2 linked regions of the Astyanax mexicanus genome follow. The protein of the gene in region 2 purifies or fractionates together with the protein of the main gene of each other region. This does not show direct contact. Links are inferred from orthologs where the notes say so. Each region holds a gene or a part of one and is shown on either strand. Other genes may lie near its edges.

Evidence for each region.
Region 1: the proteins of polr3d (region 2) and polr3h purify together in Homo sapiens (affinity purification with mass spectrometry; 6 studies listed by BioGRID and IntAct, counting the BioPlex papers as one, with this or other methods). This does not show direct contact. The link is inferred for Astyanax mexicanus from reciprocal best matches to the Homo sapiens genes POLR3D and POLR3H.

The regions. Positions count from the first base shown.
Region 1 is NC_064410.1:18,950,094-18,958,065, reverse strand, and holds the start of polr3h (DNA-directed RNA polymerase III subunit RPC8), read right to left. Parts: upstream 3,004-7,972; 5' UTR 2,846-3,003; intron 2,187-2,845; 5' UTR 2,186-2,186; coding exon 2,075-2,185; intron 1,273-2,074; coding exon 1,176-1,272; intron 923-1,175; coding exon 836-922; intron 168-835; coding exon 104-167; intron 1-103.
Region 2 is NC_064426.1:19,991,225-19,998,605, reverse strand, and holds the start of polr3d (DNA-directed RNA polymerase III subunit RPC4), read right to left. Parts: upstream 3,007-7,381; 5' UTR 2,878-3,006; intron 1,720-2,877; 5' UTR 1,713-1,719; coding exon 1,551-1,712; intron 1,456-1,550; coding exon 1,412-1,455; intron 1,309-1,411; coding exon 1,154-1,308; intron 694-1,153; coding exon 569-693; intron 1-568. Other genes in the region: nitric oxide synthase-interacting protein, read left to right, coding at 4,527-4,596, 5,364-5,469, 6,542-6,623, 6,738-6,873. UniProt on the Homo sapiens protein: DNA-dependent RNA polymerase catalyzes the transcription of DNA into RNA using the four ribonucleoside triphosphates as substrates.

The DNA.
Region 1 (7,972 bases), on a different chromosome or scaffold from region 2:
AAATTCTTGACAATACACAGTAATTTTCATCATCATCATGATCATCATCATAATAATCATAATCATAATCAACATGACCATCAACATTATCCAGGCAGGATACAATTTAGCAGGTTGTTGTAGTGATTCTGGTGGGATTAGGATGTCATCGAAGAATCCAAGACTGACTGTGAAACACACACATGCACACATGATAATTATTTTAAATATCAACTAATAATATAACTAAATAATATTTCTAAATAAAAAAAACATAATGGAAAAATCTTAAATATATAATAGAATAAGTAAGCATACTTTATCCTATATAATCTGTATATAGGACACTGTATAAGGGTTAAACGATTCTGTGTTCTATGTATGTTTGTAAAAGTTCTGCAAGTTCTGTAAAACGCTGTGAGCAATAAATTTCTAATGTATCAACTATTACATAAAATACAAGTAAAATATGTAAAGTATATTATTTAAAGTCAGAAGCAGTAAATAACTCTACATTTCTGTTGTTATTTGATGATTCAGGCTTTAACGGGTAAAGTGTCTCTACAAAGGATGTGAATTTGTTTAAACATAAAAACTGTGTACACTGATAAGCTGACTTGTTCTTTTAGCATTTTTTGAGAGTGACAACCTTACAGGAACCAATTCACCATTTTTCTCACTTAATAAACTAAAAGCTGAGACTATATGGAATACATTTCTGAGTGTCAGAGGTGTAACAGCATGACAGAGAGATTAAGAAACAGATACAGGCCTTATTGAGAGAGAGAGAGAGAGAGAGAGAGAGAGAGAGAGGGAGTGAGAGAGATAGTAAAAGTGTAGTGGTGTGTAATTTTACCGTGCACTCCTTCCTGACTGCAGTATTTGATCTTCCCCACCAGAATCTCATCCAGGAACGGGTGAAACACCACATATCTAAAATGCACTGTTCCAAATAAACAAAGCAAAGACACTGATATTACAGAAATATTTAAGATCTACGGCAGAATCAGTTTCAAACAGAAAGAGAGTCTGAATAAAACAACACAGGCTTTCTAAAAAACTCTAAACAGCTACTGCCGTCTAACAGCTGTCTGCCCAATGTTTTATTAACCTGCATTAACCTGAAAGTGCTCTTCCCCATGCTTTGTGTAATTACACATTCTGACCAGAGAGGTCTCCAAATCCCCCAAAAATACCTTTAGTGTGGGAGGCTCCATCCCCGGGGAAAATGTAGGAATCCTCTAGTTTGGTGATGTCATACAAGCAGATACACAAGCCAACGTTATACACGACCTAAAATAAGGAGACATGATTACTACATCAAACGGACAGTTATTGAAACATCAAATCTTAATCATTAAAACAGAGTCTAGCTGCTTTAGGTCAGCATTTCTCCCTTGAGTTTATTCTACGAGCTTCATCCAGTGTGTGTCAGACTCCAGTCCTGGCAGCCCAGAGCACTGTGCAGACAGTAAACTAAGGTGGTAATGTACATTTAGATTCTAGATTACAGTCGGCATTTCATTTAATCAAGATCCAAACTTACTTAGAAATCACCACGTGAGCCTTACATATATGCTAAATCTACCGCTCAAACTTTCCTGGATGATTATTTACAATAGTGCTGCATCTAATCAGTTTTTTTTTTCTTGAATAACCTCAACACCTAATTCATTAATTATTCTAAATGTTTCACTGTAACACCGTTACAAAAGACGATGCTCACAGGGCACTAACCACAGGACACTGTTCCACAAGACGATGCTCACATGATGCCGCCCATAGAACACTTACCACAGGACACCTAAAAACAGAACACTGGTTCACAATGTTCACAGGACACTAACCACAGGACAGTTCTGTTGATGGACTTTCCTAAGTCCAGCAGTGATACTAACATGTTTAAACACTCTTACCAGTAAGGAACGGAGCATGATGAAGTATGAAACAGATACAGGACTACAGTCTGTATTTAAAGAACTACACCGTGTCCTTTATGCTAAGTGGAGCTGAAACTGGATAATGAGTTTAGAAACATTCAGGTGACCATAATGCCCTGTTGTGAACAAAGCTGTAATAGTGATGGAGGTCTTGCCTTGTTGGCCAGTTTCTTATTGAGTTCTTCAGCAATGGCATCGTTGAGCTGTCGATGGAAGTTCCAGGGAGGAATCCGCACCGTGTCCACCATCTCCACCACCACGAACATCCTGAAATGAATAATAACACACCTGATTAATAATGCAACTGATTAATAACACAGAAATAATTAATAACAAAACTGATCAATAACACAAGTGAATAAAAACAGAACTGATCAATAACTCAGCTAATTAATAACAGAGCTGATTAACGATACAGCTGATTAATAACACAGCTAATTAATAACAGATCAGATTAATTACAGAACTGATTATTAAAACAACTGATTAATAACAGCTGATTAATAACACAGCTGATAAAAACATAACTCTTTAGCACAGCTGTTTAATAACACAGCAGATTAATAATACAGCTGTTTAATAACACAGCAGATTAATAATACAGCTGATTAATAACACAGCTGATTTAAACAGGTCAGATATGCTGGAAGATGCCGGAGAAGCGCTAGATTGAGTTTTTCTTTATTATTTCTTTATTTTTATTTAAATATTGTTAAACGTGTCATAACTTTATTTACTATGGTTAATACACTTCTTAAGGGTGAGCCTGAAGTTCTAGAGCTGAAACAGGTAAATAAACAGGTCGACACGAGGCTGAATTTGAGCCTGGAATAATCCGCTCCACCTTAAATCGAGCTGCAGTGAGGAAGTCAGGCTGGACCTGAGGCAGCACGAAGCTCCAGCCTCGCTAAACAGACAAAGCTCACCTTCCTCCTCTGAGTGAACTCCTCACTGCTCTACAGCCTCAGTTCTGATACAGATTTAATCCGAATCCGGTTCATTTTACACTAAACTCCCGCTGTCCTCTCACGTGTGCTCCGGCTTTACGACAAGGCTGGACGGTTTACGGCAAAACATGTGACGTATTCAGCGTAGATATTAACCCTTTCAGACCTGCATCCATTACAATGAACACCAGGATTTTCTTTATTTTTAAATGTTTTGTTGCACATAACGTTATTTGAGAGCTGTTGCTCATCAGAATAGACCATGAACCATCCAATCAACAAGTTAATAAACCAATGAAACAGCAACTAGGTCCACTGCACTGGAAAAACAGTAGTACTAGAGCCATTGAGTAACAGCAAAGTAACAGCTAATTTTAACTAATTTAATTAATTTGATTTAGAACATTTTTTATCATGTTTTTTACTGTTCATGGATGATTTATGAAATAAAAAAGGTCATTATGAAATATAAAATATTACACACAGGTTTCCAATGCAATGGAAATAAAATATATAATAAATAAACAATAAATAAATATTTTAATTAATTTGATTTATTTGCTAAATAGACTTTATAGTAGAATATTAGACTCTTCTTTTTCTGTGCATTACTGACAGAATTCTTGCATATTTTTCCATCACTTTCAGGTCATGAAAGGGTAAAAAATATGAACAGAAAAAATATAGTGTATTATTATTATACACTCTGTTTATAAATCACCACTGATCACATACTGTATGTCTTCCATTAAAAAAAAACATTACTACACCTAAAACTTATTATTATTATTATTATTGTTATTGTTATTATTATTAATATTATCATTGTTGTTGTTGTTATACCATATCAATAGCTGAGCTGAAACCTTTAGTGGAAAAGTAACCACTGTGCTTCTATTACTGTTTTTAGACACAAGTTTAAGCCTCATTTGTCCACCTGGCATTGCAACATACTATTATACTACTTTTAGCCTCTTGTTATCAAGTTCGCAGTGGTAACTATTTGTAATATTCAGAGGGGCTATTGGATCATGTTGGCCAAACTGCTAGTCTGCCATTTGTGTCACGTGACCCCCTAATTTCTTTATTTTTAACACCAAGAAGTCTTTTCAACGTAAGCCACATTTTGTCCCATATCTCAAGAATCAGTGAAACATGACTGAATTTAAATATGCCAGCATTTATAACTTTGGGGCAGAAAGCTAAAAAAAAAAGAATAAACATAAATATTCAAAACATAAATTACACCCATAGTAATATTAGAGTGATTCTAATATAAAAGGATTAATACATTTATTGAGAAAAAATGCTGTAATTTAAAGGAGCCTCTAGCCTGAATACAAGATGAGATGCGATTGGACATGGTGGTGTACATGTTTTGTGTGGCATCCTGCAGCATATTTACCCACATACGTTGCAGTTGTTGCAGTAGATCCTGCTCTACACTTGTTGGTTGCTGAAGCTGCGTCCCAGCCGCTCCCATTAATACTGAACTGAATGCCAGTTGGAAGCCCTGCTATTAGCCATGCTATCACACCTGTCTACAGGGTGTCGTGCATGTATCTCTGAGCTGTTAGTGTCCCTCAGATCACTTCTAGCAGTGACCAACTGTCATACGCAAAGACCTGTCATACCACAAGACCTTCATACTCAAACCTGACTATCATCAGATCCCAACCTGAAGACGATATGTTTCCAGTCTGTAGCAGTCCAGGGTTCTTCTTCATGACACCACTGAAAACGAAGAGGATGGTGGGTGGCAGTTGACCTATATGGCAGGCAATTCATCAAAACCCCCCTAATTCCCTCATTCCAACGATGCATTTTTTACAGTCTGCCAACTGGGCACAATGTTTTTGAGTATGTCAGAGCCATGTCTAGCAGTCAACAATCTAATATTAATTTTCATCAATAGTAATCATTTTAAGTAGTGTCTCTGTATTGATTAGTAAGTGACTTTTGACTGGGATCTCTTTGAACACCTACATGGTTACATGTGATAAACAACCCATAAAGCCAGAACTTCACACAGGCATTACAGAGTGAGTGTATGATTACGTAATATGCTCATGCCCTCTGTACATCTGTCATGCATCATAACTCCCTTCCCCCACTTAAGCCTAAAGAACCACAGGATTTTTCTATTACATATCTATTGACAATACGTGACTTTGAGCTTTAGTTACTCTTTATTTCCAGACATTTGTGGACAACCCTTCTATTTAATAAATAGAAGGCTAAAGCTATTAGATAAAGGCTAAAGCTATTGTCACTTCATGCAATCACATCCTCAAAACAATGCTCCAAAATCTAAAATCTAGTAGAAAGTCTTTGTTGGACAGTAGAGACACTAACTCAAACAAAAGCAGGATACACTTTTTTTTTTTTAAATTCCATTCATTTCAGAAGAAACAGTAAAGTAGCAAGTGTCCCATTACTTTTTTTCCATGTAGTGTAAAAGTGTATCTGTAACTCAGAGAACAGCAAATCTAAAACAATTTAATGTTTAATACAGAGTGTGTTTACATGCATTCAAACAGTTAGATTAATGTACAATACCTGATCATGCATTACTGGTGTGATTTAACACACTTACAGTTTCACAATGGTGTGTGTGTCTGTGTACGCATTTTAATACAAATCCAGCCAAAACAAGCACATTCTCATTAGCTGATTTATTTTATTTTCATTTATTTAGGAAAGTTCAGATTCTGATAGCATTCAAATCACATCCATCTACAAAACACAAATTAATAAACATTAAAATCAGAACAGAGAGATGGAGTCCGATTCCGACAAATATTTGGTTGTAGATTAGAGATCAGATGTCAGATACATAAATAACAGGTGTGTTCACTGTTCGTGTACAGCTTTACTTCAGCAGGAAATAAAGGTTACATCACTGACGGATAGGCCAGAGTTTTTAATCACATAACAGAGCACCAGCTGATCCACGGAACAGCCAGAAACCTAAATAAATCAGATTTTTGCAAAGTGGACCCAAATCAGGTGGTTTCAATCTGATTGGATTCATACAAACGTGTCTCAGTCTGATTGCAGGAATCCGAGAAGAGTGCTGAAGGTTAGTTACTAATGCCAATCTCCATACCACAGCAATAACCGCGCAGAAGCGCTTTTAAATACCAGTGTGGATACTTATCTTAACAGATCTGAGTTGGGAAACGACTCAGATTTGCCTGTAGATTTGCCTGAATACAGCGTTCAGTTTCTGAACTTTCTACACAACCAAATAAGTGCTAAAAAGTAAAAGTGCAAGAGTTTAATTTTAATACTAGAGTAAAGAACAGTACTTAAATACAAAAGCAATATTTAATTACTCTAATACGCTCCATCCCCAACAGAGAAAACCTGTTATATATCAGCCTCGTTTACTAGACGTTAAGCCGTCAGGCAGCCACTAATCACAGAAGACTGAATAATTAATAAAAGGATCCCTGCTTTATTCATCTCTATTCTAGTGGAAGCTTCAGTAGAGATTAATGAGCAATATGGAGGAAAGACTGGAGTCAGGACCGAACAGCAGACTGCAGGCCAAGCAATCAGCAGCTTTTTAAAAGAACAATCTGACCTTTATCTTTGAATCATTTGTTTAAGCATTTTCATTTCATTGATTATTCATCTCAGTAATCAAAGGTTTATTAGTGATAGGGAATCAAAGGTGCAAATTGTACAGAACCCCCTCCTCCCAAACTAGACACCCTAAACCTTATTTACAACTACCTTTACCCAACTCTGAGAGGCGCTGGGCTTTAAAACCCAAATCAGACCTAAAACACCTACACACTCCACCAACTCCGACACACACCTCCACCTCCACAAGCGTCGTCCAGCAGCACACTACTCCACCACTCCTGCACACCTCTTAACATTCACATAAATATTGCCATTATATTACTCATTTCCAGACAGTCAAAATCCTGTTTAAAAGTCAGCAAGTGCTTTTTCACCCATTAGTCACAAAAATACAAAAAAAAAAAACACAACAAATCCGATCACTAATAGTAAAGAAAATAAAAAATAAAATGGTTAAAAGTCATTCAGGGTTGTTTTGGAGTGCTTTGGGTTTAGATGGTAAATAAAGTGGTTATGTGTGTTGTCATTGTGACACCAGGTTCAATTCACCACCATTGTAACTAAATCCACTCCCTACCAGACAGTTAATGGAGACTGAAATGACTTTAAATTAGCTTTAATTACAAAAGCGCTTAGGAGTGTGTGGCAGGGGCTGTGTGTTACAACAGCCTACAAACCACCGTTGTGCGTTTAGGACATGAAGATGAACCACTACAGTCAGAAGTCACAGAGAGCAGATCATCAAACAAGAGGTGGGACAAACATAGATATGGTGATATATCTTACATTTTCGATACATGGCATCAGTTACGAATATTTTTACTGAAACACGAGGTGGCCCTATAATCAAATGAATAGGGTAAACCTATGGTGAAGAATATTGGTTGTTAAATTGTGTGAAAAAACTAATACATCTATAATTCCTGGTATTTGTTTATTTAGGAGTATTTTATTCTCTTCAGTAACACAGATGCCGTAAAGTATGTCTTTGACAGAATCGAAGTATTGTGGTGTAATCGGTATAATGGGCATCATATCCTGATACTATCATACGAGATGCCCTGTGTTTTACACTCCTAACAAACACACACAAAAAAAAAACAGAAACAGTGTTTTCTATCGATAATCTCAGACTCGTGGAGTGATGACAGCAGTGATGCAGGAATGGAGAGTCATCAGCATCAGATGTTTAGACCTTATTAATATTTGAACATCTGATCTGATCGAGCTCCAGAAGAAACTCCAATTGCAGATTAGCCAGCTAACTTAACCTTAGGTACTTTAGGTTTGACTCAGTCATTACAATAGGCCCAGGTTCTAAAAAGCCTGGCATTAAAAATCCCCATCTTAACTGGTAAAGAAAATGATCAGGAAGATGCTCGCTGCACCACTTATCAAGAGTAAACAGCTATGCTTTAAAATGCTTTAGATACCCTGCCCTTTCAATGAAAGCCCTTAAAGCATTAAAATTAGAGACTTTCTTTACTATTGAGAGTTACATATAAGAAATAT
Region 2 (7,381 bases):
ATTCATGTCAGTTTGACTAGTTTTTTCAAAACTTTAGCGTATTTTGAAAAGGTCAAAAGGTCATCTGGAAAAACAAAAAATGTGTGAACTTTCCAATTGAACACTCCTGATAAACAATGACAACATGTGGAAAACCTTTGGCACATTCTAACGAATATGAATGAATATTCTACAAACCTCAACAGATTTGTATATATAAAATTAAGCACTGATTATGTTTTAAGGACTCTGATAAACAATGATAACAGATGAAAGCCTTTTGACCATCTCCAAAATGTGACAGTGTGTCCCAAATTGTATTAGACCTTCTGAAACATCACCAACCTTTACTCTAGTAGGCATCATTGTGCCAGTTTGTGCTTAAACTTAGACTGCCGCTTTTGGCTATATTTTGTTTTATTTTTGTTACAATATTATTATTTTATAAAACGTTTCTGGCCTTTAGAAATTATGAAGACAAATAACTTTTAAAAACATTATCCTTTTAATCACATTTCAGTCTGGACTGCCATTGCTAGATATTTAATTATTTCCCTTTTTGGAATTCATGCCCCATAAGCACACTTACGTTGTCTCTTTCCAGTTTGCGCAGAATCTCTTTGGTCTCCTCCTCAGTCTCCCTCTTCTCCTTCTTAATGTTGATGATGGGGGAGGGGCCAGTGTTGGGCGTTTCTCTTGCATCATCATATACACCTAACAAAGAAACAAAAAGTCAGAAAGCAAGAAAAATGCATGATTCTCTTTTACTGCTGAGAACTACTGGTACTACATAAAGTACACATTCGTGCTTCTTTATTTTTCTTTATTTTTAATGGTCAAATGGTTAAATGGCTGACCTTGTATAGTTAGCATAAAAATGAGTATTTAATTTGGCCCAGCCTGTTTATTAATACTAGTTTAAAGCAGTATTATTCTCCTGGGTTTCCCCTACAGTTGTGAAGTGTAATTCACTTCTATTTCATTGCAGTAAATACAAACTGAGTTTTGTGCTCCCACTCATGAACAGGCTGTACATATGCATTTGTTAATAAGCTGAGAGATACACTGTTGGCATCAGAAGTGATAGAAGCATGTGGAAATAGATGGTAGAGTAATACTAAATTTTTTGTGGTTCTTGTCATTGCATTTCCCCCTGACCTGTATTTTATCATACCTCTCCTCTTGGCCATCATTTCCGCAGGGCCCTGCTCAAAGATAGAGTGGGACTGAATGACCTCTGGGCGACCCCGACCTCTGCCACGCCCGTCTCGCTGCCGCCCTCGATCCGCATCTTTCCTTTCTCTCCTGGGTCCCTCATCAGCTTTCAATCTGCAACAAAACAGCACAGCTACTGTAAAGTAAGGCCAGCTAAGGGTCATTATATTACACTGGAAAAGACATTTGATTGCAATACACTCATGTAAAAACTTACTCTTCTTTACTTTTACGACCAATGATGTTAGGTGTGAATGTTTTCTGTGGGGCAGAACAAGAGAGAGAGCACAGTTGCTTAATACACTGACACTGTTTTTTTTTTTTTTTACCAGTGAAAACAATGCAATCTGGTGTACCTTTTTTACACCTCCCAGTGTGAGGTCTCTTGAGCGCATGGTGGGGAGACGACCGGGAGAGAGAGCAGCAGGCAGCCTGCGGCCAAGCACTGAACCTCTGCCACCACCTCCAGGCTGAGGGGTACGGGGTGGTCCAGAATCACCAGAGCCTGGTGTGGCCATTTTCACACTATAATTACATGCAAAATTTGACATTTAATCATTGCTGTGAATTGTTTAGTGCTTTGCATTACATAGTCAGTACGACAACTATTGTTAATATGGTGTTACATGCTGTGTAAAGTACTGCAGATTCATACTAATATTCCATAATATTCCATAATGGTTACTGATTAGTAAATAAAACAGTACACATACAGCTCATCACTGCTGTCCAATGAAAACCTCCATTTCTGTCTGTTTTATGTTTTGTGAATGACTTGAATCCTGTGGATGCTCTCTACACTGTGTAAATAATTATTGATGAATGGACCAATAGAAATGATCTATTAATGTGGAATGAACTCTTATTTTGCATTGAATTCCATGGAAATTATGAAAATTTTTGCCTTTTGCTGTAAAGTCACAGTTTTGGAGGAACTTGTTTTTTAGCGGACAGCGACAATATTCACACAGGATTACAATCAGGTCACTATTACTGCTGTCAGTGTATATATATTCTCAAGTTACTACAGTCATGCTGGAAAACACATTATATATTTATATTGGCTAAACATAAGACACATATACATATTCATGCTATATTAAAATTACTTTAAAGTTATTACTGTCAAACTGTAGATTCATACTGGATTAACAGTATGGATTATCTATACACTTAAAAACTACAAATTCAAGATAATTACATACTGGATCAGAACCTGTTAATTTTCATTGTGATTAATGTCAAACTTCATAACCCACAAACTGCATATTCAAACTGGCAAAATACACTAAATACACACTAGTTTTAACTACTTAAAATACCCAATATCAATAAGCACAAAATCACCACCATTCCATTTTTTTCATTATTATTATTTTTTTGGCTTTGCTATTGTAAGTCCCTTATTTGTGCCTTTTATTTAAAATATTTCCTGACAGCAGTAAGACGCCACCAAATTAACTGTGCAGACCTCGCTGTTTACACTGTTTTCTCACAGGGACTTTATGTAACCGTTCTGCTACAGGTAACTTAAAAGTGCTGAGCGGCTGCAGTTCCCTCCCTCACTGTAAACACATGGCAACACATGGCTAAACTGCCGGCCGCTCAGCCGCTGAACAGGGAGCCGGCGGGCTAGTTTAGCTCATAATTTACTGCCACTGAAGAAAACGACGAGGTATTTACCTGCGAGCTGCCTGCTGTCCTACCTGAGCTCCTCAGAGTTTCCAAATTAAACCAATAAAAATAAATCTCACGAGACACAAGTTAGAATAGGGCGGAGTTTTAGTAACGACACGAAAGAGGAAGTGACGGAAAACATGTCGGTGCGCTCAAATCGGCATTACCCCTACTCCCTGTTCCCTACTCCCTACTACATACTGCCTACTCTCTAGTCCTTTTTCCTGCTGCCTGTTCCCTACTGACTACTCCCTGTTCCCTACTCTCTACCTCCTGTTTCTTCTTGTTGACTACTCCCTACTGCTTGTTTCCAATTCCAATAGTGCCTCCCTACTGCCTAGTCTCTGTTCCTATCTACTTGTTGGCTACTCCCTGTTCCCTACTCTTTACTCCCTAATGCCTATTTCATACTCCCTATTCCCTACTTCCTATTCTCTACTCCTTAATGCCTACTTCTGTTCCTCACTGTCTACTATGCCTACTCCCCACAAACTGTTCCCTACTCCCTGTTTCCTCTCGCTACTCCCTTTTCCACTAGTCCTTACTCCCTACGTTTTATCAGAAGCATTTTTCAGTTGTGACTATTTTCTGCACATTTTCAATTTCCCCAGTTATATAAAAAATACGGTAAATGGAGCGCATGTGTTAATAAATGGTGGTGAATGAAGCTAAATGGCTTATAATAGTGTCTACTACTTACTACCAGTATATTCTTACTGTTTGTAAAGTATATTACAGTATTTTGCTAAAATTAAGCAAAACATTTTTCTACAACAAATGTTTTTGGTAAACAGAGACACTAGCAATACTGCTACTGTGTGATGACTTGTCTGTGAGCTGACGCTGAAGTAACCGCGTACTGGAGCTTTAAAATTATGTGAAACATTTAATATGGTTCCGTGTTGAGAAATTGAGATTTTTCAATATAAAAATATAAACCATTTACAATCTATGATTTGCTCAATTGCTATGAGCTCATTCATTTGGAATCATTCTGGAGTGCCCTCTAGTGACTGACAAACCCAGAACATATTCTCAAGTGGGTATTGTCTTCTGTAAAAGTAAGTTATATCTCTGAGTATATCTGCATTAAATCGATATTTATAAACTATCGCATAATATATTAGCGGTTTTCCACTACATACATTTCAATCTTTTATATATAACACATGTAATTAATATTTTATGATGTGGAGATTTCCTGTCCAATTATGAAGCCTGTCACACTTGTATTTTGAAAAAGCTTTCAAGCCGGTGGGTCACTTCCTATTCCGGCCAGCTTGGCTCGAGGTAAACAAACTGCACGGTTGATATTTTATAAGTACTTTATTTTTATACCTCTGATGTAAAAACAGTCTAAATACTGATAAATTGACGTCTACTATCCCGCTACCTCGAGCTACAGTTGAAGAGCGCACTGTTTCAGTTAGCTGTATTGTCGCTAACCTGGTTGTACAGGAGCAGCTCTGTTAGCAAGCTAAGCTATGTTAGCTAGCTAAACTAGCTGGAGTGTTTGTACTGCTTGGTTTTTTATGTCTTGCTAACGCTAGCTTAACTAGTTAGTTAAACTGTTTTAATAGTGTTGGTTGTGTTGATGGTAGCTAGCTAAGTGTAATCTTATAATTCTGCTTCATTAAAGCCCCTGAAAACCAAACATGACCCGACACGGGAAGAACTGCACTGCGGGAGCTGTGTACACCTACCACGAGAAGAGGAAAGATACAGGTCTGTTTCTGGCTCCTTTAAAATGTGTAAATGTTTTTTTTTCTCTGTTTGCAGCTTTGCACAAATACAGCTGCAGAAACACAGAACGAGTCCAGAAGGTGTAACAGCTCGACCCAATTCACCAATTTATATTAACTATTAAGACTTTTTTTCAAATTTTAAGCTCCCAAATTTTAAAGTCCTAAAAAGAGTCTATGATTCATGATGTGATTTAAACCACAGAATTGTTCACATGTCTGCTTTTTTAACAGTGGACTCCATTATCCTATAATGTAAACAAATCCCAGTTAAGAAAACACTTGCTAATAATGTGAAAAAAGTGAGCTTTAAGAAGACCTTCCTCCCTGTTCCCTACTTTCTACTCCCTACTCCCTGTTTCCTTCTTCCTACTCTCTGTTCCCTACTTTGTACTTCCTACTCTCTACTTCTTACTCCCTGTTCAATACTCCCTGTTCTCTTCTCCCTACTCCCTGTTCCATACTCCCTATTCCCTGTTACTTGTTCTCTACCTCCTACTCTCAGTTCCTTAGTTCCTACTCCTTGTTCCCTACTTCTTTCTCTCTGTTCTCTACTTCCTACTCCCTATTTCCTACTCTCTACTTCATACTCCCTGTTCCATACTCCCTGTTCACTACTTGCTACTCCCTACTACCTATTTCCTACTTCCTGTTCTTTTTTTATAATTTTCACCGCAATTAAAACATGATGTGGGAGCCAGAACTGTCTTCCTGTTTTGTCTTCTGATGGCCTCTGTCTATTCCCTACAGCTGCTTCTGGATATGGAACTCAGAGTGTGCGCCTGGGGAAAGACGCGATTAAAGATTTCGACTGTTGCTGCCTCTCATTACAGCCCTGCAGAGACCCGGTTGTAACGTAGGTGGACTTTCACAAGTTATAAACTTAAACTTAGATACAGCTAAAACAATATATGGGATTTAACTGAGCATGATGTCTGTATTATTCAGTAGTTAATATGTCTGGATCATTAAGAGTGAAATATGTTGTACAGCTATTTTTTAAAATTAATTTACAGCAGTGGAAACAGGGGTTGCATTGACCTCAACACGAAAACTGGCATTTGATGTACTGTCCAATAAACACTAGTGAATCTGCACCTGTAGAATTACGATTAGTAATAATGCCTTAATATGAAAAGTGATCATAATAAAAATAATAAATTGGATTTTTTTTCATCGTTATTTAATTGCACAGCATTTTACTTGCATGCTAACAATTTTATGTATATATGTATATTATGTTGCAACCTCCACATATTTTATATCTCTATCTTCATGTACAGTATCCAAATAAACGTTTGGACACACCTTAAAGCAAGTTAACAGCAAGTTAACTGCACCACAGATAAAAGCCACCTAAATGCTTCACTATTTTGGTTTTTTTAACACTTATGTTTACTACATGATTCCTTATGTTATCCTTCTTAGTCTGGATAACTTCAGCATTCATTTACAATGTAGGAAAAATCTGAATAAGAAGGTGTGTCCAAATTTAGTCAGGTACTCTATATGTCTCGTATATATTTTATTATATATCTATATATTTATGTTTTATCCTTTCTGTCTTTATCTTGATTTTTAAAAGGTTCCATAATTTCAATGAATTATTAGTCTTTATTTAATATCAATAAAAATAAATAATAATTTAATAAATTTAGAATTTATGTTTTAATAATTTAAAACAATTTAGAAACCTTTACTCTAAAATAACCTAAAATTATTAATTAGACAGTGTTTTTTAAATCTTAGCTTTTCCTATGTAGTTTTCTATTATAATACACAATTGAATTCATAATCACTGTCCTGATATTTCTGGGGTTGTTAAACCAAGGTCCTTTTGTAACATACAAATAAACATCAAAAAGACAAAACAAGATAATTCTCTAGGAGATCTAGATCTTTATTCTCATGTGTCTGTTGCTTTACAGTGAAGATGGATTCCTCTATGAAAGAGAGGCAATACTGGAGTACATTCTCCATCAGAAATTGGATATTGCTAAGAAGATGAAGGTTTGTGAAGGCTTTGACTGCAGCTCAACTCTTTACGTTCTGTATATTATACTACAATCCTTACAATATTAGTATTTATCTCTCCCTCTCTTTTATATGCTTCAACTCCCCAAGGCCTACGAGAAGCAGAAACAGGCTCTGAAGAGTGAGGGACAGCTGGAGTCCTGCTCAGAGGAGAGGGAGAAAGTAGAGAAGTTCAAGAAAAGAGAGGGCAGCATTGTCTCCAAACCAATCAATCCTTTTATTTCAGGTACAAGGGGACAAATTCAGTTCATGTTTGTGTAATACACTTATGTACATTTATGACCTCATATTATTTAATTTATTGTCATGCAGAGGAGTCTATATTCAGTGTTAAAAAGAATTTGTTAAATAAAATAACCACATTTGGTTCCCTAAAGATAAAGGTTTAAAGAAGACTTAAGACAATAGTAGGTAAGTAGGAAAATTAGGGTAATTGGTTTGGTGTAGGGCTGCTTTGCTTCAGTAGGACATGGCAAGCACTCCAATTTAGAGAACATTTGTACAAAACTGCTAAAACAGCTGAAAGAAATCTGCCTGGAGTGGGGAAATCTTTTTCCAGTCTATTGTTTTTTGTGGGGTACCTACACAGCTGCACTGGTCCAGATGTACAAGCTATTAGTAGAAGATATGAGAATATACAGTTTCTGATACAGAGAGAGAGCAACAGAAAAAAGGGATTTTTAGGTTTTATTACACCACCATTAAGGCTTAAAACAGCAGCTTGAAAACAAGGC